Linked DNA regions of Elephas maximus indicus. The protein of the gene in region 1 interacts with the protein of each later gene in a biochemical or structural test. Links are inferred from orthologs where the notes say so. Each region holds a gene or a part of one and is shown in the gene's direction. Other genes may lie near its edges.

What was found.
Region 2: of the proteins of SRC (region 1) and SHC1, one has a biochemical effect on the other in vitro, tested with the Homo sapiens proteins (4 studies listed by BioGRID and IntAct, with this or other methods). The link is inferred for Elephas maximus indicus from reciprocal best matches to the Homo sapiens genes SRC and SHC1.
Region 3: the proteins of SRC (region 1) and KHDRBS1 form a complex in vitro, tested with the Homo sapiens proteins (8 studies listed by BioGRID, with this or other methods). The link is inferred for Elephas maximus indicus from reciprocal best matches to the Homo sapiens genes SRC and KHDRBS1.
Region 4: the proteins of SRC (region 1) and MUC1 form a complex in vitro, tested with the Homo sapiens proteins (2 studies listed by BioGRID, with this or other methods). The link is inferred for Elephas maximus indicus from reciprocal best matches to the Homo sapiens genes SRC and MUC1.

Annotation. Positions count from the first base shown.
Region 1 is NC_064843.1:32,209,560-32,217,096, reverse strand, and holds the start of SRC (proto-oncogene tyrosine-protein kinase Src), read left to right. Parts: upstream 1-4,524; 5' UTR 4,525-4,899; intron 4,900-7,537. UniProt on the Homo sapiens protein: Non-receptor protein tyrosine kinase which is activated following engagement of many different classes of cellular receptors including immune response receptors, integrins and other adhesion receptors, receptor protein tyrosine kinases, G protein-coupled receptors as well as cytokine receptors.
Region 2 is NC_064821.1:192,878,823-192,885,926, reverse strand, and holds the start of SHC1 (SHC-transforming protein 1), read left to right. Parts: upstream 1-4,097; 5' UTR 4,098-4,635; coding exon 4,636-5,130; intron 5,131-5,724; coding exon 5,725-5,795; intron 5,796-6,305; coding exon 6,306-6,369; intron 6,370-6,516; coding exon 6,517-6,636; intron 6,637-6,876; coding exon 6,877-6,930; intron 6,931-7,104. Other genes in the region: CKS1B (cyclin-dependent kinases regulatory subunit 1), read right to left, coding at 813-871. UniProt on the Homo sapiens protein: Signaling adapter that couples activated growth factor receptors to signaling pathways. Participates in a signaling cascade initiated by activated KIT and KITLG/SCF.
Region 3 is NC_064821.1:72,957,968-72,965,099, forward strand, and holds the start of KHDRBS1 (KH domain-containing, RNA-binding, signal transduction-associated protein 1), read left to right. Parts: upstream 1-4,112; 5' UTR 4,113-4,319; coding exon 4,320-4,698; intron 4,699-7,132. UniProt on the Homo sapiens protein: Recruited and tyrosine phosphorylated by several receptor systems, for example the T-cell, leptin and insulin receptors. Once phosphorylated, functions as an adapter protein in signal transduction cascades by binding to SH2 and SH3 domain-containing proteins.
Region 4 is NC_064821.1:193,099,392-193,106,411, reverse strand, and holds the start of MUC1 (mucin-1), read left to right. Parts: upstream 1-4,014; 5' UTR 4,015-4,095; coding exon 4,096-4,153; intron 4,154-4,669; coding exon 4,670-6,180; intron 6,181-6,273; coding exon 6,274-6,326; intron 6,327-6,463; coding exon 6,464-6,597; intron 6,598-6,742; coding exon 6,743-6,864; intron 6,865-6,944; coding exon 6,945-7,020. Other genes in the region: THBS3 (thrombospondin-3), read left to right, coding at 1-75, 1,066-1,205, 1,294-1,352. UniProt on the Homo sapiens protein: The alpha subunit has cell adhesive properties. Can act both as an adhesion and an anti-adhesion protein. May provide a protective layer on epithelial cells against bacterial and enzyme attack.

The DNA of each region.
Region 1 (7,537 bases):
AAATACACAGAGCCCCCAGAACAGGGTACTTGCTCGGGGAACTCCGCACTTAATAACTGTGAGGTATTGCTATGATGGCGTAGTGGTTAAATGCTGTGGCTGCTTACCCAAAGGATGGCAGTTCGAGTCCACCAGGCGCTCCTTGGAAACCCTGTGGGGCGATCCTACTCTGTCCTATAGGGTTGCTATGAGTCAGGATCGACTCAATGGCAGCTGTTTTTTTTTGTTGTTGTTGTTGCTGTGATTATTATCTTCACCATTATTCTTTCAAGCCCTCCTGTGGCAGGCTGTCTCCCTCTGCTAGGTTGAAGGTTTCTAACCCTTCTTGTCTGTGGGGTCACAGCTTTGGCTTCAGATTTCCGCTTGCCCTCTACCCTCCTGCCAGGCAGATCAAGGGCCCGACTCCTTTCATCTTTTCTCACAAACATTCTGGGATGTGGCCTGCGCTGGGGGATGGCTCTGCCCACCAGTAACTCTTTGTGTAACTTTGGGAGAGTGTCTGTCCCTCTTTGGGCCTCTACTGTGGCCTGACGGGGTGATGTGATGAGTGACTGAGTTTTCTTGGCAACTGGCTTTCACAACAGTCTGGGGGGCTTGGGCTTTTGCCCCATTTTCAGATGTTCAGGTCTTTTCTGCCTGTAATGTCCTCTATTTTGTCTCCAGACTCTAGGCTGGGCAGAGAAGTGCTTGAGCCTCAGGTTTCCCTTCCCTGTACTGGCCGTAAAGCCCCAGAAGGTGCAGCTGAGGAGGTTTGTGATTCTGCAGGGCTGCTCAGTGGTTAGTGCCATCATTTGGATGTCTTCACTCAGGCTTCTCCGCAGAGGTGCATGCTGAGGTGCACGCCTGTGGGCAGGTGGGCAGTGAGGCTGGAGACTGACCACCCCTCCCGGGGGCTGGCCTGAGGGAGAATGTGCAACCTGTTCCTTCTGACTCTCATAGGGTTATGCTTCTCCAACCTCCTGGGTTTTAGGCCTCCTAACTGCCTCCCTGCCTTAATCTATCTTCCACCCAGTAGTGACCACAGTGATCTCTCGTCTGCTAACAACTCTCCATGGCTCCCCATTGCCTCTAGGACAGGAGTCAAGCCTGGCACTTGAGGACGCTCAGGGTTCACCCCAGCGCCCCCCTTCCTGCCCCACTTCTCCCCACTGCCAGCCCACCCACCATCTTGTGCTCCATCAGCACTGCCCTGCTTGTAGTTCCACACATAGCGGTGTTTTTGGCCTCTGGGTCTTTGCTCAAGCTGCTCCCTCTGTGCCATTTTTCACCTGGCAGCTGTCTCCTCCGACTTTTGAGCCCTCCATTGCTGACCTCCTTCTTCCACCAGCCACCCCACAAGATACATGCTGGCATGGAAGCTCCTTCTCCAGGTCCCCCTCCCCAACCACTGTGCCTGGCACATGGTCACATGTCCCTGTTCCTCCAGGCTGTGAGCTCCTCCAAGGCACAGGTCTGGCCTGGTTTGTTCACTGCTGTCTCCCTAGCACCTAGCACAGACCCTGGCACATAGTATGTGCTCAGGAAAACTGACTGAATGGAGGAAGGCTAAGGCTTAGCCAGGCCTTAGAGGGTGGGGAGCATTCCAGGCACAGGGAGCAGCAAGTGCAGAGGCCTCAAGGCAAGAATGAGCTCCGTGGTGAATCAGCAAGGAGGTAGACTTGGCAGAAGAGGAAGGGGACCCAGGCTCGGAGGGCCCAGATTGGGCTGAAGCTCCGATGAATGGAACATCACTATGTAAACTCTAAGACGCAGTACTGTGGGAGGCACCAAACTTATTACATAGCTTCAGGCTCCCTCCTCCCCTAATCCATCCCACAGTCCTGAGTCCAGTGGCTTCAGACAGAGGACTCATAGTAAACCATTTGGGGAATGACAGGGCTGGTCTGGAATTTCCCACTGAGTGCCTGTGATGGGTCCAGCCTCCCAGTGGCTGCTCCAAGGATGAGCTGGCCTGGGGGTGGGTGCAGTAGATAGGCTGTCATTGAGCCAGAGCCCCCAGGGCCCTGGGTGAGATGTGGGCGGGGCCCTTGACCCCACGTCATGGGAAGCCTCTGGTGTACGGTTCTACCACCAGTTGCGTGCAGCGGGGCCTCACTCCACACTCCCCATGCTGCCCTGGGTTGTGGCTTTGACCCAGAACGCAGTGGGGAGGAGGAGAAGAGGCGGTTTCCAGAGACCAAGGACTCTGTGCCACCCATACTCACCCTTTCAGCAGTGCTGACATCAGTATCATCTGTCATCTGCTGGGAGCTTTGGGTTGGGAAATTGTCCTCACTGGTGTCCAGGCCTGGCCTGGGGCTGTGTATACAGTCAGAGATTAATACATGGTTTTCGTCTATTAATGATGATGAATGGTTTACAGGCACTAAGCTGAGTATTAAATGATGTGCTGATAAATATTTAATAACCACCTCTCCGAAAGGAAAAAAAAAAAAGCCTTGATTTGTAGCGTTTGCCAATTTCCAGGATGTAATACTTTCACCATGGCTGATATCAAGATACCAATGTAACATCAGTGAACACAAAGTTGAGAAGAGGTGCACAATCAGCTCTTGGGGGCAAATAGGAGTCAGCTGTGGGACACCACTGGATGAATCCCATCCCTAGCTCAGTGTGGCCAGTGAAGGCCTTCAGAAATGTCTGAAGAGTGAACCAGGGAGAGAAACCTGCTCCTCCAGCCAGGAGCCCAGGTTAATCTTTAAGCCAGCCTTGCAAACAAGTGCAGCCATTTTGCCAGCCCATGTTGGCTTACGGTACTGCTTTGCCTCTGACTTGCTGTAGGCCTTTGTGCAGTCCCTTCTCTCTCTAGTCTCAGGAGCCTTTGCTAGCATTCCCCTCCCAGGTGCTTTTAGCAGAGACTTCTGTCCAGGGGGTAGAAGTCCAAGCCTGGTGCCTCTTTGTCCTGGCTGGGCCTTTGTTTCCCATCTGTGAAATGGGAGAACTTTCAGAGGAGGAAAGTGGAGGCTGGCGGGGGTATTTAAAGCTGGATTCAGGCCCACCCACTAGGTGCTATGATCCAGAGAGGCCTGGTGAGGAGCCAAGGTGGCAAGCTCTACCTCCATTAGGGCAGCACTGGATCCTGGGCTAGGAGGTGGTAGGGCGTCAGGTAAGCTCAGATAGTGGTTGGGGGAGACTTTGTGGCCTAAAGCAGTATTTCCTCCATGTTCCTTTTCTTTCCTACACTTCCAACCCCTGTGCCCAGATGTGCTTAGCCTCTTTAGTTACTTGAAAATGTAATTTTCACTTAAATATCAGCTTTAACCGCCCCTTCCCTCCCCCAGCAGTAATCTCCTCAACTTGCTGGTCTGATTGGGCTACCATAGTTAATGTTTTTTCTTATGCACATGAAAATGAACACATACCTAGACACATCCAAACACTCTGAGGGACCAAGTTGCTGGGGCTGGGGGCTGGGGACCACAGTCTCAGGGAACATCTAGATCAATTGACATAACGTAGTTCATCAAGAAAATGTTCTATAGCCCATTTTGGTGAGTAGCATCTGGGATCTTAAAAGCTTGCAAGTGGCCATCTGAGATACATCTATTGGTCCCATCCTGTGTGGAACAAAGGGGACTGAAGAAAACCAAAGATACAAGGAAAATACTAGCCCAAAGGATTAAAGGACCACAAGAACCAGACTCCACCAGCCTGAGCCCAGAAGAACTAGATGGTGGCTGGCTACCACCAGCAACCACTTTGACAGGGATCACGGAGGAAAATATAAAACAGAATTCAAATTCACCAAAAAAGACCAGACTTGCTGGTCTGACAGAGACTGGAGGAACCCCCGAGAATATGGCCCCAGACACTCCACTAACTCAGAACTCAAACCGCTCCCCGAGCACACTTTTCAGACAAAGATTAGACAGGCAGATAAATTAAAAAACAACACACTGTGAGGAACATGCTTCTTAGTTCAATCAAATATAGGAGACCAAATGGGCAACGCCTGCCCAAAAGCAGGACAAGAAGGTGGGAAGGGACAGGAGCTGGAAGAGCAGACACAGGGAAAACCGAGTGGAAAGGGGGAGCATGCCCTCACATTGTGGAGAATGCAACCAAAAAAGAAAAATAAATAAATAAAATGAACACGTATCTATTAAAATAAAAGTGGCTCTTCCGGCTTGCCCCACCTGCCCCAGCTCCCACTTTGGGAAACTGGGGTTAAGGCTGGGAACCAAGGACTGGTTCTTGTTAGGAGATCCTTGCCTTTTCAGCACCTCAGTTTCCTCATCTGTGCAACAGGGATAATCTCAGGACCACCCAGCCCAGGTTGTTTTCAGGATTAGATCCCAAAGTCGACCTCAGCCACTTAGTATGGCTCCTGGTAAGGAGTGAGCGCTCCATTAGGGTCGAGGTTATTATCATTATTAATAATTGCAGGAGAGGCAGATTTGGGGTAAACAGGGTTGGTGAGTGGCTTGGGGGAGTTAGGGAGGGTATTTTGGCCTGGGAGCAGATGGGATGGGGGCCTCGTGGGATGGGGCGCTTTCACGGGGCAGCGTGGGAGGCGGGGCCTCTGCTCCCCGTCCACGCCACCCCTGCCCTGCCCGGACCCCTGGCTTGGGCCGCGCACGGGTGTCTCCCAGGTCACCGGCAGGGAGTGTATCCCCGCGCGCTTCCTCCTTCCTCCTCCTCCCGGCGGCCTGCCGGGCCCCTCCTCCCCACTCGCGCGCTCCCTCCCTCCTCTTCCCCTCCCGGGGCCGCCGCCGCCTCCTCCTCCTCTTTCTCCTCCCTTTCTCTCTCGGTCTGTCTCTCCCGGCCCGGAATCCATTCCGGCCTGGGAGCCGGAGCGGCCAGGCCGCCGTCTGCCCGATACCCCTGCCGTCCGGCGGCCCGGGGGTCCGCCCTCCCGTGCGTCCGCCCGCCGGTGCGACCGTCTGCCGGCTGCCTCAGGTGAGAGCCCTCCGCCCCTCTGCGGGCCCCTAGTCCCGGCCGGCCTGAGAAAGCCCCCGCCTGGACCACCCCGGCGTCTGATCGCGGGGCCGCCGGGGCTCCTGCCCACCCCTGTCCCCCAGCCCCGGGCCGGGCCGCGATCCCGGAGCGCACGGAGGGCGCACCGGGACAAGCCCAGCGCGGCCTTTTGTTGTGATGCCGCGGAGGGAGGGGGCTGGGCGGGGGCGCTGGAGTCCTGGCCGTGCGGGGACCCCTCTCGTTGGCCCTTCCCCCGCGAACCCCCCGAGATGCAGGCGAGCCGGCCCGAGTCCCCAGGCCAGGTCTAGGCCAAATATGAAATCTGAGCCAGTCGGCGCCGCCTCTGGCCGCGACTACCCGGCCTGGCGCCCCTGGCCCGCGGTGGGGTGTGGGTGGGGGGGGGGGGCAGAAGGCCTGGAACGGGGGTTTGGGGGGCGCCAAGGAGGGAGCGCTAGGCCCAGGGCGCCAGGACCTCCTCGTCCTCGTGGGGCCTTAGGTCGGGCCTGGTGTCGCCGGCCTGGAATAAGGGGCTGGGCCAGGCTGGGCTTGGTCCCCGCTGCCCACAGCCCCCAGCGCTGCCCGCTCGGAAGTTGGCAAAAGTTTTGGGTGCCTACCTCCTGGCGGGTCCACCTGCCTGCCTGGGTGGGGGTGGGTTTGAGGCCAGGCTGGGGCTGCCACTCGCCCTGCTGTGTATCCTCAAGCAACTGCCTGTCCATTCTGAGCCCGGGACCTCATCAGTGGCAGATGGGCCTGAGTGGAATTGCTGGGCTGGTGGGAGAATGGATTGGAGTGAACAGAACTCAACTGTGGGGTATCAGTTCAGGGACTTGAGAGTGGGCACAGTGTGTGTGTGGCCCTGGGCAAGACTTCCTGGGCCTCAGGGATTCTGTCTATACAATAGGGGCAGTGGTCCCTGGGTCACCTGGGATGAGTCCAGGTCTAGCAACAATATAGCTGAGACCAGACCTGGCTTGAGGGTGGGCCTCGCTGGTCCTGTTGCTGACCCTCTTCTTGCCCCCTAGGGGGAGCACTGATTGGGAAGTCAGGACACCTGGGCTTCTTGTCTCCCTAAGTGACCTGGGCCAAGGGATTGCCCCTCTGAGTCACAGTATGAGGAATAGGGATGCTCAGGGGAAGATTCTATGCACCTCTGCCTGTAGGGGCTTGGCACGTAGTTGGTGCTCAATAAATGAGTGCTTTACAGAACGACTGCCTAAGAAATGAAGGTGGGAGGTAAGGTTGCTGGCCCAAGTGGGGCTCATCTCCTTGTGCCCAGAAGAGGGTGAATCTTCTGAAAAACCTACTCATAACCCCCTTGAGAAAGAAACAGCCCCAGCCCAGTCCTGCCACATAACAGCTGTGTGACCTTAAGCAACTCACGCTCCCTCTGGCCACAGTTTTGTCAACTTTAAAATGAGCCAATAATAATGGCAACTGAGTACCCTCTGTGAGCACTCACCCCTGTGAGGTAGAGTCTCTTTTTTTTCTCCAGTTTACTGATGGGGAAACAGACTCAGAGAGGGGAAATAATTGGCCAAGGCCATACGACTTGAAGCTGGAATTAGAACCCAGACCTCAGAGACCCAGTCTGGCTGCCGGGCACCCCTCCAGTGATGGGAGAGTGGAGGTTGCCCAGCATGGGGCCAGGCACAGAGCAGTGTTGGAAGACTATACTGATGAGTGATTGACTGGAAGCCACGAGGCCCTTTTGGGCCTGCATTGGTGATACTGTCTTTCCACCCAGAGAAATGATTTACAGTGTGTCACCTCTCTCAGCTGACTGCTTGCCTAGGTCCTCCTGTGTGAATCCTGGGCCTTTGCTCCTGAAGATGTCCCTGCCAGGAGTGCCATAAGCTGCTCATCTGCTCAGGCTCTTCAACGCTTAGCTTAAGGCCCACTTCTCCCAGCAAGGCCCCCTGGCTCTCTCCTCTTCCTCCTGGAGTAGGCATTATCCCCAGCACACAACCCAGAATCTTCTTTGGCTTGTTCCCTGATTGTGACCTGAGGGGGAGAGGGTCTGACTCCCACAAACCCCAGGGGTCAGGGTGGGGATAGCTCAGTGACCCACTGAGCTCTGCCCAGGGTGAGCACATGTAGCTGCTGGGAAAACCCCCCATCTCTTGGTCCCGAACCATGTATCATGGATGCTTGTTTGTCTAACCTTTTCACAAGAGTTGACCCTGTTTTCTCAAGCTTGCCCAGATATAAGCACCATGACCCCATATTGAGCACCTACTATGTACGAGGAGCTTATAACTCAGTGGAGCAGTGCTGTGATGGGGTAGCAGTGGGAGTTATGGGAGGCATCAGGGAGATTCCAGGAGGTAGTGTGCCTAAGCTGAGGGAGGGCAGTAGGTCACCTAACAAAGAAGGGGAGAGGGGACTCTTTCTTCCCTCCTGCTCAGATACCTCCCAGGCCTCCATTTTCCTGCCCTCCCCTGCCCAAGATTGTGGGAGTAGTCAGCCTGGTGGGTACTTGCTGGGGAATGGTGATCAAGTCCCTGACCTTCCAGAAATTTGAATCTGTAGGGGAAGACAAGTAGCAAACCAGTTGCCAGATAAATAAATATATAATGGCAGATTGCGATAAGGATTCAGAGTGTGAGGTCTGGGGTGTGGA
Region 2 (7,104 bases), on another chromosome or scaffold:
ATTTTGGTCAGAGCTGTTTTCTCCATCCTTCCTTGAACCTCATCTCAGGCAGTTTCCTCCAAGAAGCTCTCTCAGATCTTTCCCCTTAGCAGGTTTAATGTGCTCCCATCACACCCTGTAACATCTCCACCATAGCATTTATCACCTTTCTGGAGTCTGTTAGTATCTTTAAGACTTTTCGTTGAAAGCTGAGACCATGTCTTATTCTTGCACCTTGGCAGAACACCTGAAAACTATAAGCCCTCCATAATTGATTCATGAATAGATGCCCTTCAAATATTTGAAGCCATCTATCAGATCCATCGTAAGTTTTTTCTCAGTGTTCCTGGCCAGTTTTTTTCCCACTCCTGTTCCTAGCAGCGCCCTTCCTAAAATAAGCCGGACAGCCACGCCCGCAGCACTCGGTCTCTCCTCGCACGGAGGACACGAGGAAAATTCCAGCTTTGCCTTTGCCACCTTCTCCCGGTAGGCTCTAGGGTCCTATGGTATTCTTATGATAGTAATCGCAAGGCAAGTTCAACTTGCCAGCAGCTGCGAGAAAGATTCAGAAATCCGCACGGGTGAAGGCAGTCAGCACTCTAACCACGCCCATCTATGCTCAACAGAGGGCTTATTCCAAATTTTCAACCAATTTGTCTTTTTCAGAGAGCGTCCCACCCCTCGCGCATGCTCTCTACGCCTCACCCGGCTCAAACCCACCCCGTACATCTCTCGCGCATGCGCCAATTCTGTCGCCTCAGTCCTCATTACTAACTCGTGCCCTCACTTGACAAGGTTCACAACTTCGTTAAGGCCCCCGCGCCGGCACTAACCGGTACTCGAACTCCTCGTCATCGTATTTGTCCGAGTAGTAGATTTGTTTGTGCGACATAATCGCTCAGCCTGAGGGACTTCAGACCCGCGCCGCCAACCTCCAAACAACTCCCAGCAGCACGCGCTCCCACCCCCTTTGGCCTCGCTTTCAAACACACCGCCCACACTTCTTATTGGTCCCTTTTGTTCAAGGCGGGACAGCTCCACCTTCAAGCCTCCGATTGGCTTAAATTTACTACTACTAGGGTCCTTATTGGAGGGTAGGTCCTACGTTTCTCAAGAACGAGTTTGGGTCAAAAATAGGCCTCTTATTGGCTACCACTGCTCCTGTGCGCGTTCTCGCGCTACCATTGGCTGACTCGAGAAAGTGGGACGGGTGAAGGAGGGACGGTGAGGTAGAGGGTCAGGGGTTAGTGAGACCGGAAGTGAGAGCAATAAAGTTTCTCCAGGGAGGCCGGGTCCGGGGAGAAAGTTGGAGAGGGAACCTAAGGAGGCAGTGGCGTAATCCGGAACCAAACAGGCCCGCGGTGCGGTGCGGAGACTCCATGCAGCCCTGGTGAGTCTTGACGTTTTTTCTGTTTAGGTGATCCACATCTCCACCCCGGAACCCCTCTCCCGGGACCCCACTTCCGGTCTTCATTGTTAAGTCCCGCCCCTTGCGACCCCCTCCGCGGAAGTTCCACCTCCCAGCTCCAGGGGGCTCCCTGAACCGTGATTTTTTTTTTTATTTATTGTTCCTGACGCTACCCAGTCGTCCATCTTTCCTGGAAGTCCCACCCCTAGACATGCTTCCAAACCCTACTACGAGAAACCCTTCGTTAATGCTTCCAAGTCGCCGAAGCTCCGCCTTCTTGCGACGGTTTTCCGCTAACTCCTGTCTGTCAAGAAGCCTGTCCCCCAAAAGGGCCAAGCCAACCCTCGCGCTTCAAAGAACTATTCGAGAATCCGTTGAAGCCACGCCTCTGTAGAAGCCCCGCCCCTCTAGAAGCCCCGCCCTTTCCTTAATCTAAGTCTGATCGTCCAGAAGCCTCTCCTCATAGAAATTTCCCTTGCTCGCGTCCTAGGGGCCACGCCCCCGCTGGGGCTTTATCCTTGTCATCACCTCTGAAGTTTTGTCTTCAATTCTAGAAGTCTCACGTGCTTACACTTCCCGGTCCGTCTTTCAGGTCCTTGGACTCAGTTCTCCTGCGCTCTCATGCTCCACCGGGTGGGAAGTCACAGTTCCCATCTCTGGCCCTGAAAAGTGGGAGAATAGAGGCACCGTTTTCCTTTCCCTTACCCCCCTTCCTAGAGTGGACCGGCTTGAAGTGGGCTGGACTTGGGGTTTGGCACGAGACTGGTAGAGAGACTTGCTCATAGATTCCCAGCCCTATTCCCTCCATTGCCAGCCCACTTCCCAGGACCGAGTCCACCCCAGAAACAGCTGCAAGTCGTACCTGTACCGCAGGAGTTGGGTAGGGCCGTGGATTCGTTAGTGTGTGGCATGTGCTTGTGACAGGAGCCAAAATTTTCTATCACCAGACAGAACGGTGGTTTGGAGCAGGGATGGGGAGCAGTGTCCTATTTTGCGGTTTGATTTTTTTCTAAGGGACTCCTCAGTCTTCCCTTCCCCCAAACCAGAGTTCTTGCCTGGGCATTCCTCCTGGCTCCGCTTGCCCAGCCTTCCCTACTGGAAACATTCCTGAGGCTTTCGCCATTTCCTGCTACTTCCCGCTCCTCTTGCCTCCTCCCTGCTGGGCTGAGAAGCCAGGCACAGCTCCTTCCCCACACCCAATCACCGGGACTCCCAGTAGGCAATCTCCTTTCTCCCTATGCAAATTTAGAGTTAAACTTCCTCTTTCTTTTCTTCCAACTGCCCATACCTGTTGGTCACTCCCTGCCTCTGGATACTGCAGACTCCACAGAACGGCCATCTCTAAAGATTAGGGTTAAGTGCTATGGCTGCTAACCAAAAGGTCAGCAGTTAGAATCCACCAGGCGCTCCCTGGAAGCTCTATGGGGCAGTTCTGCTCTGTCCTATAGGGTTGCTATGAGTTGGAATTGACTCGACGGCAACGGGTTTGGTGTGTGTTTGTGTTTTGGGGGGGTGTGAGGCTGTGGCAGAATCCTTTCCTCATTCTCCGTTTGCCTGAGAGCTGAGGCCTTAGGAAATGAAGTGATAGAATTCCTTTTCAGGAGTGGTGGATGGAGTGATGAGCTCTTCTGGGATGAAGACTAAGGGGAGGTGAAAGCGTTTAGCACAATATATAACACGTTTTAAGTGCTGGTACTGTTATCACTGTAATCATACGATTATTCCCTTCTTTTTATTCTCTGAAGTAAATTGAAAAAAAAATAGGGTAATTCTGAGGTGATCCTGGGGGTATGTGTATCTTTTTGTTTTTGGCCACTTTCTAACTTCCTCTGTGATCCCCTCAAGCACAGCTGTGACAGGAAGCTGTGGGTGGAAGGGATGGGCTCGGGATTGTTCCCTGTGTCCGGCCTCAGCCCATCTTCTCCTGGCATCCCTTTCTCCTGTATTTATTAACATAGATCTGTCTTCTGTTCTCTCTATCCCTTTGTAGCTTGGAGGCCCCACTTCTCTTGGAGAGCTGCCACACTCTCCCACCTCCCCCAGCCAGACTCCTTCCCTGGTGTTAGGGACACTGTGCTCCATGGTGGACACCTGGGCATTCCCAGTCACCACTGCAAGAGGAAGAGTATGAGTATACCTGGCAGGACTGGGGAGTTGACTTTAGAGTTAGTACCCAGGCCATCCGCTTCTCAGCTTTGACAGCTTGCTTTGCTAACTTGTGCCTGTGGAAAAGCAGCCAGAACAGTGCCTGGCTGTGGGCTGCTGCTCTTTGCCATGGTGGGTGCCTTGCATAGGGAAGAAGCCGCAGCCAACCTGTCCTCTTGCTCCAGCTCTTGCCTTGTGGCTCCCTGATGCACCACCGAGGTTGGACTTCCTCCTTACTTTACCAGCTTCGCCCTTCGTCTTGGCCCCTCTCTACATCCACTGGGACCACTTCCTTCCCTTCCCCATCTCCCTACCTCCAGTCCACAGCTGTTGTGGCAGAGGATGCTAATGGCTCCGGCTCCCTAGGTCCACAGCCCCACTGTGTGTTAGTGAAGGGCGAGGTGGCCTGGGCTGGAAGATGGGGAAATTTGAGTGTTCGACCAGGACAGGAAAGAAAGTGCTGAGCTCAGGGATCCCCTCCCTTTTCCACCCCCAGCTGTCTCTGTTTCCTCCCTCATTGCTCCCCACCCCCCCCCCCGCCCACCTCTCCCTTTCCTGGTTTCCTGCTTCCCCCCTGGCCTGCCCATGTCCGGTTTGGACTGATCCAGACCTCCTCTTATCTCCCTCCTTTCCTTCCCTCTATCCTTCCCTTCAACGCCCACCTTACTCCTCCCCAGATAGCTGGTTGGTTGTTTGGAGGTGGGGGAAGAGGGACGTCGCTGTCCCTAACCCAGCAAGGGTTCTAGGTTGGGTTGGCAGTGGGGGATCAGCCCCTCAGAGCCTGTGAGTCAGCACTGTCCTTGGGATTGGTCTCTCCCCTCAGCTCTCCGCCCCTGAGGAGGAGCTAGGCAGCTCTGGGTCCAGCCTGTTCTCCTCTCGCCAGAGAAGAGGCTCCATGCTGGGCGGAGATGGGCCCTGAAACTGTTTGGGGCTGAGCTGGGGGAGCTGAAGCTACCTGTCTCTCTCCCTCCTCAGGACTCCTGAGACCCCTGGGCTATAGAGTTCCGACCAGGCTAAGGGCCTGGGGATGCCTCCTGCCTGGCCCCCTTGCCCTGACTGGCAGGGGGGCCGGGCTGGGCAGCAGCACCCCTCTCACCCCAGCCATGGATCTCCTTCCCCCCAAGCCCAAGTACAACCCACTTCGGAATGAGTCTCTGTCATCGCTGGAGGAGGGGGCTTCAGGGTCCACGCCCCCGGAGGAGCTGCCTTCCCCATCAGCCTCATCCTTAGGGCCCATCCTGCCACCTCTGCCTGGGGACGACAGTCCCACTACCCTGTGCTCCTTCTTCCCCCGGATGAGCAACCTGAAACTGGCCAACCCAGTTGGGGGGCGACCAGGGCCAAGAGGGGAGCCAGGAAGGGCAGCCGAGGATGGGGAGGGGATCGCAGGGGCAGCCATGCTGGACTCAGGCCCCCTGCACCTCCTCCAGGACATGAACAAGCTGAGTGGAGGCGGCGGGCGCAGGACTCGGGTGGAAGGGGGCCAGCTGGGGGGCGAGGAGTGGACCCGCCACGGGAGCTTTGTCAATAAGCCCACGCGGGGCTGGCTGCATCCCAACGAGAAAGTCATGGGACCCGGGGTTTCCTACTTGGTTCGGGTGAGTGAACATCCTCCCTTCCACTCCTTCCCAGACCCTCTTCCAGTTCCTCTGCTCACTCCAACTTTGCTGCTATCTCTTTCCCTAACAACCCCCTCCTTGAGGACTGTGTTCCTGTGTTCCATTTCCTTTCTTAAGCCTTTCTCCAATTCTGTAGCCCCTTCCCTTCCAGTTTTGCCTGGGCCCCCTTCCTTCTTGACTCCCCCACCCCCCACCCTGCCATGCTTAGTACAATGCCCAGCACATGGTAGGCCCTTAGGAAGTGTTGGAATGTGTTACTTCTTGATTCTCCCCTCCAGTCTCCTCCCCCTTTTTGGAGATGTCACTAGATTGTCTCCACCCCACCCAGTGCCTGTCACTCCCCTCCAAATTCTCTTCCTCATGCCTGAGGTCTACCTAGCTTCCCTTTCTTTCTATCCTCATTCCCCTGTTGTCTTGCACGTTGTGGGTTGTAGCCATGGTCAGTGGGCAGAACTTGCACATCTTTACTTCCCTCAGGGACCATGTAGGGAGAAGTCCTAGGGTCCTTTGTGAAGGGGTTGATGGGAGGCAGCTGACTCGTTATTCCCCTCTCCCTTCTGTCCTTCCCCTCAGTACATGGGCTGTGTGGAGGTGCTGCAGTCCATGCGTGCCCTGGACTTCAACACCCGGACTCAGGTCACCAGGTCAGTGGGGGTGGCGGCGGATTGTGGGTGCCCTGGGAAAGGGGAGAAGGGAAGTGGATCACGTGGTTGTGGTCTAGAGGTGGCTTATTTTGGGTGGTAAAGGGGATTGAGAGAAGGGAGCAAGTTGTATGAATGAGAAGGGAAACTGTGGTCCTGACCCTCCTTACCTGTCCAGCCCTGGGAGTTGTGTGGGAGGTGGCAGAAGCAGCTAGCAGGTGGAGCTTGAGTGGAAAATGGGGGCAGATTGAAAGTTGCTGCTGCCTTTGGGAAGGGACCAGGACATTTAGTGGCCGGAAGGAGGTGGGGCTATACCCATTGAGGCCCTAACCCAATCAGCCAGGAAGCGGCCTCTCAGTGTCATCAAATATTAAAGGCCCTTAATTCAATCTGCCACAACAAAGAGCCTGGAGTGCCCCTGGAGTCTGGCCTGGCCTTCCCCTCCCCCAGCCCTGTGGTAGCCCCAGCAGAGTGGGAGGCAGGCTCTGGGTCTGAGTACCCTTCTTTCCCCAGGGAGGCCATCAGTCTGGTGTGTGAGGCTGTGCCGGGTGCTAAGGGGGCAACAAGGAGGAGAAAGGTACCTGGGGCTGATGGGGCTACGGATGCTGCTGGGAGATGTGGAGGGGCAGGAGGAAGGCAGATGGGCATGTGGGGAGAAAGCCAAAAGGCAGAAGTGTGGTTTCCTGTTGTTGGGAACCCTCAGCTTCTGAATCCCCTTCCCTAGCCCTGTAGCCGTCCACTCAGCTCCATCCTGGGGAGGAGTAACCTGAAATTTGCTGGAATGCCAATCACTCTCACAGTCTCCACCAGCAGCCTTAACCTCATGGCAGCTGACTGCAAACAGGTTGGTATGGTGAGGCAGGGGGACCAGAAACACTGATGGGGGGCTAAACGGAAATCTGGTTATGAAGGCAAAAAACAAGGAGAGAGGGCAGCAGGACAGTAGGGATGAGGAAATTATGAGAACAATGGGGTATGAAGCCAGGAGGGTGGGTGGGCTAGGGTTGGGGGCACCCAGGTGGACCCTGGGGCTGTCTGACACATGTCATTCCCTTCCTTCTCCATCCCCTCCCCTAACCCTCAGATCATTGCCAACCACCACATGCAATCCATCTCGTTTGCATCCGGCGGAGACCCGGTGAGTTGAGCAGACAGCAAAGGTGGTGGGAGAAGAATAAGGGGCTAGGGATTGGGAAGACACTGGCCAGAGATGTGAGGATGGTAGTACTGAGGGGATATCTGAAAAGGACTGGGTCTTAGGGGTCAGGAGTGAGGTGGGGGTATAAAACTTCCCCAACTGTCCTCTTTTGAC
Region 3 (7,132 bases), on another chromosome or scaffold:
GGCCAGGGTTGCCAAGCACAGGAACTAAGGAGGGGAATAGCCTGAGATGAAGCAAGAAAGCCAGGTGGGGCCAAGCCATGCAAGCAGGGCTGGGTCAGATAAAGGATTCTAGCCTTTATCTAAGGGCAAGAGGAAGCCACTGAAAAGGTTTAACCAGGTGTGTATGTGTGTGTGTTTGTGACAGAATGGAGGGTGGGAAGAAAGATGATTAGATCTGCGCTTTTAAATATGCTAGCTTCTAGGTGGGGAATGGATGGAAGAGGCACAGGAGTGGAAGTATGGAGACCAGGTCAGAGGTGGTAGGAGTTCAGGTGAGACATGATGGCACTTCAGAAGGAAGTAGAGGCAGTGGAGATAGAGAAAAGTGGACGGGAGTTGTGATATTTATGAGGTAAAAACAATAATACTTAGTAATGAATTGATACGATGCGGGTAGAGCTATGAGACAGCAGGTAGAAGTTAAGGACGACTCCCAGATTTCTGCCTTGGGCAGTGAGTTGAGGGTGTTGTTCCCTAAGATAGTGAACACAGGTTGGCAGTGAAGGCAGGGTGGAGAATGGGAGTTTTTTTGAAGGCATTTACTGAATGCCCTCTCTGTACCTGTCTCTGTTTATACATAAACAGAAATGGTGCCTGCCTTAAAGTGGCTCACCTGCTGTTTGAGGAAGCAGGCCAAAAAGATCATTATAGTTCAAACATCAAGCAGGCCTCTCTGGACTGTGGATTCAAACAAAGCCACAGGAACATCAATCATGAAGATATTCTGTTCTTGCCCCCGCAAAGTCCCTACAGGTATTTCTGGGACATTTCAAGGGACTTTTCACATGTGCCTGATAGACAAGGCAGTCTGCGGGCACATCAGCCCTGCTCTGCTCCCTTCTGCTCCCGCCCACCGCCCCTAGCAAAGGTGCCCACTGTGAGGGTGCTAAGGGCAACACCAGGGCTAGAGTGAGGCAAGCAAGTCTGGAAAGTGAGTGCCTCCTTATGTTTTTCTAGCCCTGATGCTCTCAAGGAAACCCTAGTGGTATAGTGGTTAAGTGTTAGGCTGCTAAACAAAAGCTCAGAAGTTTGAATCTACCAGGTGCTCCTTGGAAACCCTATGGGGCAGTTCTGCTCTGTCCTACAGGGTCAGAATTGACTTGATGGCAATGGGTTTGTTTTTTTTTTTTTGGATGCCCTCAAGGTGCTGGAGCAGGCCTGTGTTCAAGAAGAAGGAGCTTCCCCAAGCTTTGAGCTACGTTAAGTCATTTGGGCCCTAAAGCTGCTCTGCTAGTACCATGGTAAAAACATGTTGAGTTTGAAAGGACAGTGAGACATCCAAATGTGGATGTCAGGTATACAAACAGCCTCTGGGTTTAGAACTTAGAAGTTTGGGCTGAAGATCTAAATTCCAGAGCTGTGGGCACGGAGGCGACAGTACAGGCACAAGACCAAGCTTTGCTGAACGCCCAACGTTTAAATGCCCTGCTCCCTCTCCACCTGGCAGCCAGCCAAGTCCCAGCTTCCCTAACTCACCACCTGCCACAGTTGGTCACTCCTTCCTGTGCATTCCCACAACCGTCTGTATGTTCTTCTATTATAACTTTTTTCACACTATGTGGTAACTCTTGGCTTACGTATTTGTCTTCACTAAATGAAGAGCTCCTGGAGGGCAAGGACTCTCTCTTACTCAATGTTGAGTCCCCATTTCTGTGTCCCCTCTCCCCTCCCTCCACATATTTGGCACCAAGTGATGTACTTCCAAAAAATTAGCCATTGAAAACCCTACGGAGCACAGTTCTACCCTGACACACATGGGGCCCCCATGAGTAGGAAAGGACTGAATGACAACTGATTAAAGATGTTTAAGACTGAACAGGTTAACTACACTCTTGGAAGAGAAATTCTCCTGCCCAGGGCCCTTTCTCTCCTGGGAACTGGCTGCAACAACAGAGGAGGTGGTTGAAGCCTGCTGGATCCCCCATTCGTGGAGGTTACACAGGCTTCCCTCAACCCACCCTCAGAGAAAGTAAGCAAAGGTTTGCCTGCCACCCAAAAAGTCTGTTGATCCTAGTCTAGAAAACCCATAGGCACCACTACCCAACTCCTTCTCAGACACTTCTTTATCAAAGTTTTATTAGCCTCAGCTCAAGGTACCTCCATCTGGGCATCTCACTACAGAGCAAGGACACTTCAGTCATTTGTAACACCACCACCCAAGCAGGATTTTCAGGGATGGCGGCAGAAATGAATTGCAAGGGAGCTATAAATCCTCTCTGCCCCCTTTCCTCCCTCCATGCAGTCTCTTTCTCCACCCAACCCACCTATTCCTTCACAGTCCACAAATGGATTACTCCCATTCCGTGAATGCGTTTCTGACGCGTTTCTGACGTTCTCATCTCTGCTCGTTTATTCACGCTCCCCTTTGCCTGGAACTCATTCTTCCCAGGCTGACATCTCTCTTCCCCTGCTTTGATCTCTGGTAACCCTTAATTTTCCCTTATCTTTTGACACTTTGTCATATTGCATTCTGCATTACAATTATTCAAAACATTCTTTTATTCTCCTACTGGACTATAAACTAAGGACAAGAGCCACTTCTTATGTGACCTCAAAGTAAAGTGCCGCACCAAACACTGGAGATAAGGGTGGGGGGGGGGGGCACTGTGGTTGCACTGAGGGAGTAAGACAGGCAAGACAATTTATGGAGATATCTGTGTTTTGTAATGATTTCTGTAGGTAATTTCTTCCCACCCCCACCAGAAAAAGGTAGCCAGGCCCTTATGTGCCCTAGTTGAAGACTTGTAAGTTTCAAAAATGATTACATTTAATAATGTCAAATTACACTGATTTCAAAATTCAGTAGTTTCAAGGCACCCAAAAGAAAATTTCCAGAAATGCTTTTGAACAGTGTGGGCTCATTGGGGGAAGTGATCAAGAAAGAAAAGGGATGGTAGTGAATGCTTTGAATGGGGGAAGTCAAAATCTGTGGAGAGAAGGAAAGGTTAGAGAAGGCACTAACCTTTTATGGGAATGTTCATTGGAAAGTAGTGACCTGGGCTCCACTTTGCATATACCAGCCCCAGCAAGAGGCGAACGCGCACGGAGACTGTGCGGTGTGTACCCTGGTCTTCAAAGCAGGGTCTGTCTCTCTGAGCAAGTCTGGAATAATCCATCATGGAGGGCCCAACAGAGGCAGAAGGACTAACGCTCATCCGAAGTCACTCATCCGAAGAAGAGACACCCCACATGATGCAACCGCCACGAATTAAGCTCTAGCCCCATTTTTTGCGGAAGAAACAGACTGAGTGAAAGCAGACCGATATGTAAATAAGTGTTAAAACACTCCTTCCTTTACGAAGACTTCTCTGACCAACAAAGGTTAACGTTTAAGAGCCTACTGTATTGCAAGCCATGGGATAAGACTTCTCTGGTTCCCTTTGTGCGTGCCATTGCGAGATTTCAGGTCTCCGATCTGAATCTTCCCTCTTAGTTCAAATTCTCCCAACAGCATTTAGTCTCCCCACTAAGCCGTCCTTCCTCAATTTATCCCTCCAAGCTTCCCTTCCCCATCTCCACTCCTCATCCCTACGTCAAACTCTCCATTAGTCTTTGCCTCTTCACCCTTTCTCCTACTCCCTTTCTCTCCCCCTCTCCACACTTAGGCAGCCTCTCTCCCTCCTCTTTCCTGCCCAGCGGCCTCAATTCTCGCTCCTTCCCGGTGCGCTACTCGGTTCTCCTTTCGTTTCCACACTTCAACGACTCCCCACTTCACCCCATACCCCCACCCCCACCCCCACCCCCAGCCCATTGAACGCAACCTGGCCCCACAGCTCAGCCGTTGAAGGGGGCGTGGCCCCGCGAGTAACAGCTCTCCCGCCCCACACTCCGCGGGCCCCCGCGCAGACAAAGACATTCCACAGTCCCTGCCCCCTCCGCGCACTCGGCCAGAAGGGGGAGGAGACACGTGTCCCGCTAGCGCCGAGTCACGTGGAAAAGAAAACGAACGAAGCCGGAGCCACCCGCGCACGCGCACAAACCTTAGGCCTAGCGGGCTCAGAGGGAAATGAGGAGTGGGGAGGCGACTTCCTCGGGCGCCTAGGTGGTGCGCAGGCGCTGTGACTCCACTAGGGACTTTGTTCTCCGCGGATAAACCCAAGGGCGGTGCCGGTGGCTGGCTGCGCACGCGCGCCGCCTCATTTCCGGTGCTCTCTTTTGCTGGGTCGCTCGGGTCGGCTTCGGTCGCGATCGCCCAGGCTCTCCCACCTTCGCCAACCGCCGCTCGGGCCTCTGCAGCTGCCGCGTCTCTTCCTCGATCCGTTGACCGCACGTCCTCCCAAATGCAGCGCCGGGACGATCCCGCCGCGCGCATGAGCCGGTCCTCGGGCCGCAGTGGCTCCATGGACCCTTCAGGTGCCCATCCCTCAGTGCGTCAGACACCGTCTCGGCAGCCCCCGCTGCCTCACCGGTCCCGGGGAGGCGGAGGAGGATCCCGGGGGGGCGCCCGGGCCTCGCCCGCCACGCAGCCGCCACCGCTGCTGCCGCCCTCGGCCACCGGTCCCGATGCGACAGTAGGTCCAGCGCCGACCCCGCTGCTGCCCCCCTCAGCCACTGCCTCCGTTAAAATGGAGCCAGAGAACAAGTACCTGCCCGAGCTTATGGCCGAGAAGGACTCGCTGGACCCGTCCTTCACTCACGCCATGCAGTTGCTGACGGCAGGTGAGCGGGCCGCCCGGCCACCCGGGGGCGTGGGTGGCAGCGGCTTTGTTCCTCTCGCTTCCCGCCCCCTCGGGACCGAGGCATTCGTGAACTCCCCTACTCTTATCTTCGGGAACCTGGTTTCCAAAGCCTCATTCTTTCGCAGGGTGCGAGGGAGAATTTCTAGGCTGCAGTGGAGGCCCGAAGGCGGCTTGGCGATCTCTTAGCGCAGAGATCTTGATGGATGGTGCTGAGCTCTCCGTCACCCTTCCAACCCTTCCCTTTCCCACCTCTTGCAGCTGCCCCGCGCTCTGAGTGCTCAGATTCTTCCAGAAATGAATGTTTATTTCCCTGTTCTCCCAAAGGGAAAGAAAGCCTTTTCGATTGCAGGTGGTGGGTGGTGTAAGAGATGAAGACACAGCCCGGTTGGAGAGGGACCGTGGGAGGGAGGGCCGAGGTGAGGCTGGAGTGCCCTGTCCAGCGCGCCGTCTACTGTGGGGTCCGGTCGGACTTAGCGGTAACTGGAGCTTAAGTTTCCCCCAGGTAGGAGCGACCTGTGGGAATCCGAGCTTGAGGTTTTCCGAATGAGATTTCCGACTTCGGCTGATAAAATGATTAATTGCGACAAGCCAAAAGGTTGGCCCCCTTTATTTTATGATGTGCGTTCACCTTCATCATTCAAGAAGGAAAAATAACCCTAGAGACAGTGAAATGAGATGAGAGAGAGAGGGAAGGAACTCCAGGATGGTTTGCTTGCCGTTTCCAAATGAGATTGAGAGAAGTTTCGCGATGCTTGTACGTGAAAGGCTCGATCTTTTTGGTTTTTTCTATTGGTTTCAGTTGTGAACTAGAGATCAGGAATGGTAGTCTTTGTTCTCTGTCTGTAGACTGGCATTCCTTTCCTGATCGGCCCTGGCCAAGCATCTAGTCGCTCAGATTTGCCTTGCTTCTCGTTAAGACATTTTAGTAAGTATTTCTTATGATACGTAAATTTTCCTAAGTAGAAATTCACAGCCTTTAACACTAAATGAGTAGTTGGACTCTGATCAGATTGATATAAAAGGCAGATCATTATGAAAATATCGTTTCCCTCCCTTTTGTTCTCTATCTTCCAGCATTGGTAAGGAGTCTAGTTTTCAACACCGTAAACTAAAGTACGTGGGGGTCAAGAATAAAAACTTTTTGATAAACTGCTTACATTTTTTTAACTCACTGTTTTGCTGCCCTGTCCACCCATCCACATTGTTTGAAACATTAATGTTTATTGTGTTCTTCTGGCAGGTTCTTTGAGGGCAGTAATTGCTTTTCATCTTTAAATTTTTCACAATCCCTTGCATATAGCAAACACCAAATATGTCTGATTGAATCTGAAAAAATGTACATGCAGATTTAGGAATGTCAGACTGATTGGTAAAGCTTGACCTGATATTCTAATTTTTATTTACCCAAATCTTCAAATAATCAGTCCAGATAACATGTATGAGGAAAAGAAAGTAACAAATTTTAGAACTTCAAGGTGTTGGCTTTGGTTTAAAATTCTGATCCTTAACTAGTTACATGGCTTTGGGAAACTGAACCTCAGTAATCTCATCTGTAGAGTGGGAATGATGAGTTATGAAGGTTAAATGATGTGTAAAAGCACTATCACAGCTCTCTTTGACCTATAATCATTAAGTAATAATTTGTCACCTCAGCTGTCTTCTAGCTGTAAATCCACGGTACCCAACAAGGTATGAAACTCAGGATATTTTTTGCCTTTGTAACCGAACATCAGGCATCCAGTGTGGTGGTCATCTCTTAAGCAAAAGGTGGTTTCTTAGGGTAACCATCAAAAACTATTGATCCTCAAAAGTTAGTTATAATTTTCACCCTCCCTGCCTGCATTGCTTAACTTCTACCAAAAGAGTGCCTTTTAATTTTTTAACTTTGGCTTTTTTGATGTCTCCCCCCCCCCTTTTTTTTTTTTTAACCAAACTCAAATTTTAACTAGAGAGATGGGATTGAGGTACTACTGGCTCAGTGAAAGAACAGAATTGGGATACTTCTTAGCATGGATAAGTCTTGATCTATGTTGGGTGCAGCTTTTAGGGTATTTCTAAATGATCTGGAAAAGACAGATTCTGAGAACATGGAATAGTACGTAGTAGTATATGATGAGGACACATGTAAGAAAAATGTAGCTATAACAATTAGGTGCCAGGCACTGGTCTGAGTGCTTTACATTAAATATTTAATTTTCGTGGTAACACTGTAAGGAAGTTACTCTTACCCTTATTTTCACCTATTAGGAAACCGGGGTACACAGACGAAATAATTTGCTGAAGGTAGCAAAGTTAGTAAGCAACATAGCCAGAATTTGAACTCAGTCTGAGTCTAGAACTCTAGGTCCACACACTTATACCTCCCTTCCCCCCACCTGCTACAATTTGTACTTAAAAATTAAGGCCTAGTTGGA
Region 4 (7,020 bases), on another chromosome or scaffold:
ACGAAATGTGGGCTGGCGTGACAAGACCTCCTACCGCTGGCAGCTGCTGCACCGGCCTCAAGTTGGCTACATCCGGTGAGGGGAGGGGCTGAGCTCTCCTAGGGGACCCCAGGCCTGGTCTTTCTTTCCCCTTTAGCTGAGACTCACCGGTGACTCCTCTTTCCTCAATTCCTTGGTACCACGGGCCAGGACTGGGCTACTTCTATCATCCCTCTCACCACAGACATGCCACCTTGGCTCTGCTTTCCTCCTACCATCAGGCAGCAGGGGCTCTGGCTGGTCAGGCTGCAGGGGCTCTGGCTGGTGCTGCCAAGGACTTATGTGCAATGTTGGGCAAGTCCCTCCTCCTCTGGGCCCCATTTCCCCTCAGTAAAATAAGGGTGTTAGGCTAGATGGCCTGAATGATTATCTGGGATTCTCCAAACCCCAAACATGCCTCATTAAGTCTGACCTGGAAGGGTTCATCATTTACAGAAGAACAAACCCAGGCCCAGACTTCACAGCTCTGAGTAGCAACAGCTGAGGCCTCTCAATTCAGCACTTTGTCCATAACTTTACATTTTCCTCAGACAAATGCCCCCACTTGGTGGGGAGCTGGGGCTGCTAACTGCAGAAAGCCACTGACAAGCAAAGGAGGGGAAATGGGTCTGACTGGAGGTGGACTTTCTAAGGCCAAGAACCCAGAGTCCAGGGATCTGGGTTAGTTCCCCTTTAAGGTGCCTGGGGCTGTGGGGGGCCAGAGCAGGGGATAAGGGAGGGGTGGACTAGAGCCTGGGAAGCGGGTGACTTCACCCCCCAGCCCATTGTGCTCATCGTCATGGCAACCCAATCCTCGCTTGAAATGCGGCTGGTGCTTTGAGATGCAAAGGGGGCTGGACAAAGAGCCAGGGGCCCCAGGCCTGAGAAAAGCACCCCCTTCCCTCCCCTTTCCTTTCTCCCTCCCCCTCCCTCCCTTCTCTCTGCAGCCTGGTGAATTCAAGGGGGACTGGGGGTGAGCAGGACCAGGGCATGGTGGCACAGTGACCACTGGCATCCCAGCACCAATGGACCCCCTTTCCTGGACAGGGTGAAGCTTTATGAGGGTCCCCAGCTAGTGGCAGATTCTGGGGTGATCATTGACACATCCATGCGAGGGGGGCGTCTTGGTGTATTCTGCTTCTCCCAAGAAAACATCATTTGGTCCAATCTCCAGTATCGATGCAATGGTGAGGCACTAGACCAAGATCCACCTGACCCCTCATGCCCTTGTGAGAGAGCCACATCTTCTGACCTTACTCATTTCCCCTTCCTCAGACACAGTGCCAGAGGACTTTGAGCCATTCCGGAGGCAGCTGCTCCAGGAAAGGGTGTGAGGAGGTGGCCACCGGATTCAGAATCCTGATTTTAGACCCTTTGGCCTCGGGGTCCATCCTGGAGACCCTAGGGTCTAATCTGCAGCCCCTCAGCCAAACACAGACCCTCCTTTGGCACCCACCAGGAGTTCAGCCCCATAGGGGTTGGGGATGGGACATTTTCAAGGGGTATTTCTCAGGCACTCACCCCAGAAAAGGTAACACCCCAGGAAAGATAACAGCACATTGCCATAAAGTTCCAGTTGTTTTCTAACCTAGTGCAATTGCTTATTTTAGGGATTTGCCGGGATAGGTCGGGGAGCAGGAAGGAACCTGAAGGGGAGAAGGGAAGAAGCTTGGTAGGACAAAAGTTAAGAGATCTAGGGGAAATTTGGCAGAGTTTGGGGCGCAGGTGGGGAAGGCGCCGGATGGGGTTAGGTGAAGGATGAGATGCTGCTCGGAGGATGCCTACAGCCCTCCCCACCCTACTTACTCACGGCGGCAGCGGCAACACTCCAGTCTGTCTTAGATAGCCGGGGTCGAAGCCAGGAGAGCGGAAGCTGCCCCGCTGAGGTAAGGGGGAGGCCGGGGGGCCGGGGGGGCCGGAGGCCGGGACGAGTGCAATATTGGCGGGGGAAAGAACAACACTGCACCGCGTCCCGTCCCTCCCGCCCGCCCGGGGCCCGGGATCCCGCTCCCCACCGTCTGAAGCCGGACCGGCCTGAGAAACGGGGGTGGGCTGGGAGTTGGGTTCCCCTTGAAGGCCAGAGAGATTTGGAGCCTGGAGTAGGGTAAAAGGAACGGGAAAGGGGATGAAAAAAAGACCACGAGACCCCGGAAGGCCGCTTTCTGATGCCCGGGCGTTGCGCGCGCTTGCTCTTTAAATACTCAGACTGCGCGGCGCAGACTTGTCGCCATGGTAACGCGTGTCCCAGCAACCGAACTGAATGGCTGTTGCCTGGCAACGGCGGGGTTGGCGCTTGGGGCCGCCCACCTAGATCCTCGTGCTGTCTGTAGCCGGCGGTGGGGGGGCGTCCCCGCCTCTCCGGCCCGGGCGCGCTGACGTCAGCCGCTCCCCCTGCCCCGCACCCGCCCCCGGGTCTCGCGGCCGCACAAAGCGGCGCAAACCAGGCCGAGCAGCGTGCGGGCGGCAACGGTGGTCCCGTGCTTACTGGCCCGGCTTCCCTTCAATCCTGCGCCGCACCGAGGTGTTTTTGAAGTATTATTTTTCAATCTGTACTCCTTGGGGATAAAAATGTCTTCCTAATACAGACGTAACTACTTTTATCAGCCTTAGACCGCAACTCGGGACCACCGAACGGGGTCTGATACCCTGAGCTCCACGTGCCGCAGTGGCTTGATACCTCTCTGCCCCCCCCCAAATTATTTCTGCCTTTCAAAATACCTCTCGGTCCTCCCAAATTACGCACCCTCACATACAACTCTGCCCCCCACCAAGTGCCTGCCTTCCCCAAATACCAATCTAGTCTCCAAGTTAGTTCTGTCCCCCAAAATGCCTTCACATACCATTCCGTCGCCCCACCTACTCTTCGCTTCAAATACGTAACTGCCCCTACATATTTCTGTCCCATTCCCCCTCCCACATTGCGATGTCGTCTCCCAAGTTACTCGGTGCCCCTTTCACAAACCTCAAGACCCCACCCACTTACCGCCATTTCTTCCAGACACTGCCCCACGCGCCCCAGAGTCCCCTTCCTGAAGCGCCCAGCCCCTCCATCGCACAGCACTTTCCTTCTCTGCCCCTGGCATTGACCCTTCCGTCGGGGCCCTGCCTTCTGCAGCTCTCTCCAAGCCCCTCTCAGGCAGCACAGCCCAACCTCCTCTCCCCGGACCGGGCCAGTCTCTCAGCCCGCCCGGGACAGCCCCGCGAGGCTCGCGTGACCACTAGAGGGCAGGAGAGCGGGGCCAGCAATGCTGGCCGTCCGCGCTGGCAGGTGGAAGGTGGAAGGCTGGGAAGGAAAGACCCTAGGGTTCAGCGGAGCCCAGGTTTCGTCCTTCTTTACGTGGAAATTTCTTTCCCCGCCCCCTGTTACGGAGAAAGCCAAGCAGAGAGCCAGGATGCTGGAAAGTCTGGCCGGGGCGGGGACTACAGGTTTCGGGGTAAAACCGCGTGTGGAACAGGACAGGACAGGGAGCGGTTAGAGGGGTGGGGCTATTCCGGGAAGTGGTAGGGGGGAGGGAGTCCACAACTAGTAGTCAGTCCACTAATTATTAAACCCTTTTTATTTTTTTTCTCAGTTCTCAGAGTGGACCCAGTAAGAGTGGGGATATGAGAGTGGAGGGTTTAGGGGTGGGCTTCTGAGCCTTGCTGTCTAGGACCTTGACTTAGCCCATTTTCTCTGTTTCCTTCTCTCACCCTAGCTGTTGTTCTGGACCCAAAACTGGAGCCATGGGGACCCAGGTCCCAGACTCCCTCCTTCCCATCTCCTGCGGCTAGGGAGTGGTTGGCAAAAGGGGGAGGCCAGTTGGAGAGCAAACAAGTTGTCCAGAGGGTTGAGTGATTGGAGCCAGTGTACCTGAGGGGCCAGGAGTAGTTGGGGAGGAGGAGGAAGAGGTAAGAGGTAGGAAAAGGGGGAGGAGGTGGTAGTTTGTTACCTGTCACCTGCTCCTGCTGGGCCTAGGCGGGGCGGGGGACCGGTATAAAGCAGCAGGCAGGCACCTGTGCCCGCTCCACCTCACCTCACACACAAGCAGTGCCTGCCTGAGTCTGCTCTGCCCCCTCCCCAGCCAGTTCACCACCACCATGACACCAGTCATCCAGTCCCATTTCTTCCTCCTGCTGTTACTCCCAGTGCTTACAGGTGAGGGGTACAAGGTGGGGAGGGGGGTTGTCTTGATCATGCCATTTCCTGATGTTTCTGTGGGCTTTGCTTCCTGGCAGATAGTACCATGAGAGGCAGGAGTTGTAGACAGGGGTGGCCCAGTCTGAACCAGAATGAAGGGGAGAAGACGAGGCTAGGCTGAAAAGAGGCGGCCCCCAGGAAAGCCGGTGTCAGGCACAGGTGAATGTCCTGGAGAGAAGTCTTGGGGGGAAGGGAAGTCAGGAGAGGTAAGTCATGGGAGTGGAGAAATGCACAAGCTGGGAGCAAAGGGGCACTGAAGGGAGAGGGAGGCTGCTGGCAGGAAGAGCCAACCCAGGGGCTGCCTGGCCAGCGGCCCACTCCCCAAATCCTCCTGGCATTACTTCTCCAGTTGCCAGAGGTTGTATTTTCTTCTTGCTCTGATTTGTCCTCCAATTCCAACCCTGTGGCCTCAATTTCTTACACCTGCCACCACCCCCACTTCCGTAACGGTTCTTACAATCTCTGGCTCCACAGCTCTCGAACAGAGCGGAAGTCCAACCCACTCTGGCACCTCAACCCAGACCACCAGCCCTGCCTCCGGCTCTATTACCACTTCAGTTCACCATGGCACCTCCACCCTGGTCACCAGCCCTGCCTCAGGCTCAACCACTCCAGCCCTCAGCAGCACCTCCACCTCGACCACCAGCCGTGTCTCCAGCTCAGCCATCCCTCCAGTCAGCAATGTCACCTCTGCCACAGCCACCAGCCCTGCCTCTGGCTCTATTACCACTTCAGTTCACCATGGCACCTCCACCCTGGTCGCCAGCACTGCCTCAGGCTCAACCACTCCAGCCCTCAGCAGCACCTCCACCTCGGCCACCAGCCGTGTCTCCAGCTCAGCCATCCCTCCAGTCAGCAATGTCACCTCTGCCACAGCCACCAGCCCTGCCTCCAGCTCTATTACCACTTCAGTTCACCATGGCACCTCCACCCTGGTCACCAGCACTGCCTCAGGCTCAACCACTCCAGCCCTCAGCAGCACCTCCACCTCGGCCACCAGCCGTGTCTCCAGCTCAGCCATCCCTCCAGTCAGCAATGTCACCTCTGCCACAGCCACCAGCCCTGCCTCCGGCTCTATTACCACTTCAGTTCACCATGGCACCTCCACCCTGGTCACCAGCACTGCCTCAGGCTCAACCACTCCAGCCCTCAGCAGCACCTCCACCTCGGCCACCAGCCGTGTCTCCAGCTCAGCCATCCCTCCAGTCAGCAATATCACCTCTGCCACAGCCACCAGCCCTGCCTTAGGCTCTGTTGCTACTTCAGTTCACCATGGCACCTCCACCCTGGTCACCAGCCCTGCCTCAGGCTCAATCACTCCAGCCCTCAGTAGTACCTCCATCTCAGCCACCAGCCGTGTCTCCAGCTCAGCCATCCCTCCAGTCAGCAATGTCACCTCCGCCACAGCCACCAGCCCTGCCTCCGGCTCTATTACCACTTCAGTTCACCATGGCACCTCCACCCTGGTCACCAGCCCTGCCTCAGGCTCAACCACTCCAGCCCTCAGCAGCGCCTCCACCTCGGCCACCAGCCGTGTCTCCAGCTCAGCCATCCCTCCAGTCAGCAATGTCACCTCTGTCACAGCCACCAGCCCTGCCTCAGGCTCTATTGCTACTTCAGTTCACCATGGCACCTCCACCCTGGTCACCAGCCCTGCCTCAGGCTCAACTACCACTCCAGTTCAACATGGCACTTCCACCAAGGATATGACCCCAGGTGGCAAGAGTACTCAACCCCCAGTTTCCAGCCAGCACTCTGATATTCCCACCACCCCTACCAGCCAGAGCTCCAGAACTAATGCCAGTAGCACTACCCGTAGCATAGTTTCTCCTACCTCCTCCAATCATAGCACTTCTTCCCAGTTATCTATTAGGGTCTCCTTTTTCTTCCTCTCTTTTCGCATTTTGAACCTTCAGTTTAACTCGTCCCTGGAAGACCCCAGCACGAACTACTACCAAGAGCTGCAGAGAAACATTTCTAATTTGGTGAGTATTTGCCTTTCCTCCACCATGCTGCCTTGAAGCGGCCAGTACTCAAACCTCTAGCATCAAGCCTAAGTCCTTTCCCACTCACCTCAGTTTTCACAGATCTATGGAAAGGATTATCTGGGCCTCTCTAATATCAAGTTCAGGTATAGTGCTGGGCAGTGGACTCCGTGTGGGAGAGGGTGGGTGGATGTTGGCACGTCTGTGGGGATGGACTGGTGCATTCGTGGTTGTGGTTGGGAAGCATGTGCTGAGGCAGAGTTGCCCATCTCCCTGTGACCAGTCCAGGATCTGTCATGGTGGAATCAACTCTCACCTTCCGAGAGGGTACCACCAATGCTGACAACGTGGAGATGCAGCTTGGTCAGCATGCAACAGAAGCAGCCAGATATAACCTGATCATTTCAAGAATCAGTGGTGAGGCCACTTCCCCAGCTGCAGCCCAGCGTCACACCAGGGGCCCTCTCCTCCAGCACCTGGGTTCTGACTCTTCCCTTCTGAGCTGGTGAGGGAAGGGTTGCCCCCTTTGGGAGACTGCCCTGACCACTACTTTTCTTTCTAGCGCATGAGGTGCCTTTCTCTTCCTCTGCCCCACCTGGGTCTGGGGTACCAGGCTGGGGCATTGCCCTACTGGTGCTGGTCTGTGTCCTGGTTGCACTGGCCATCACCTATCTCATTGCCCTGGTAAGTGCTGTTTCTGGCCCTGACCGAGTTGCCCTGCCAGAGGGAGTCCCATGGTCCACCAAAACACCCTCTCTCCCCAGGCTGTGTGTCAGTGCCGCCAAAAGAGCTGCGGGCAGCTGGACATCTTTCCAACCCGGGATGCCTACCACCCTATGA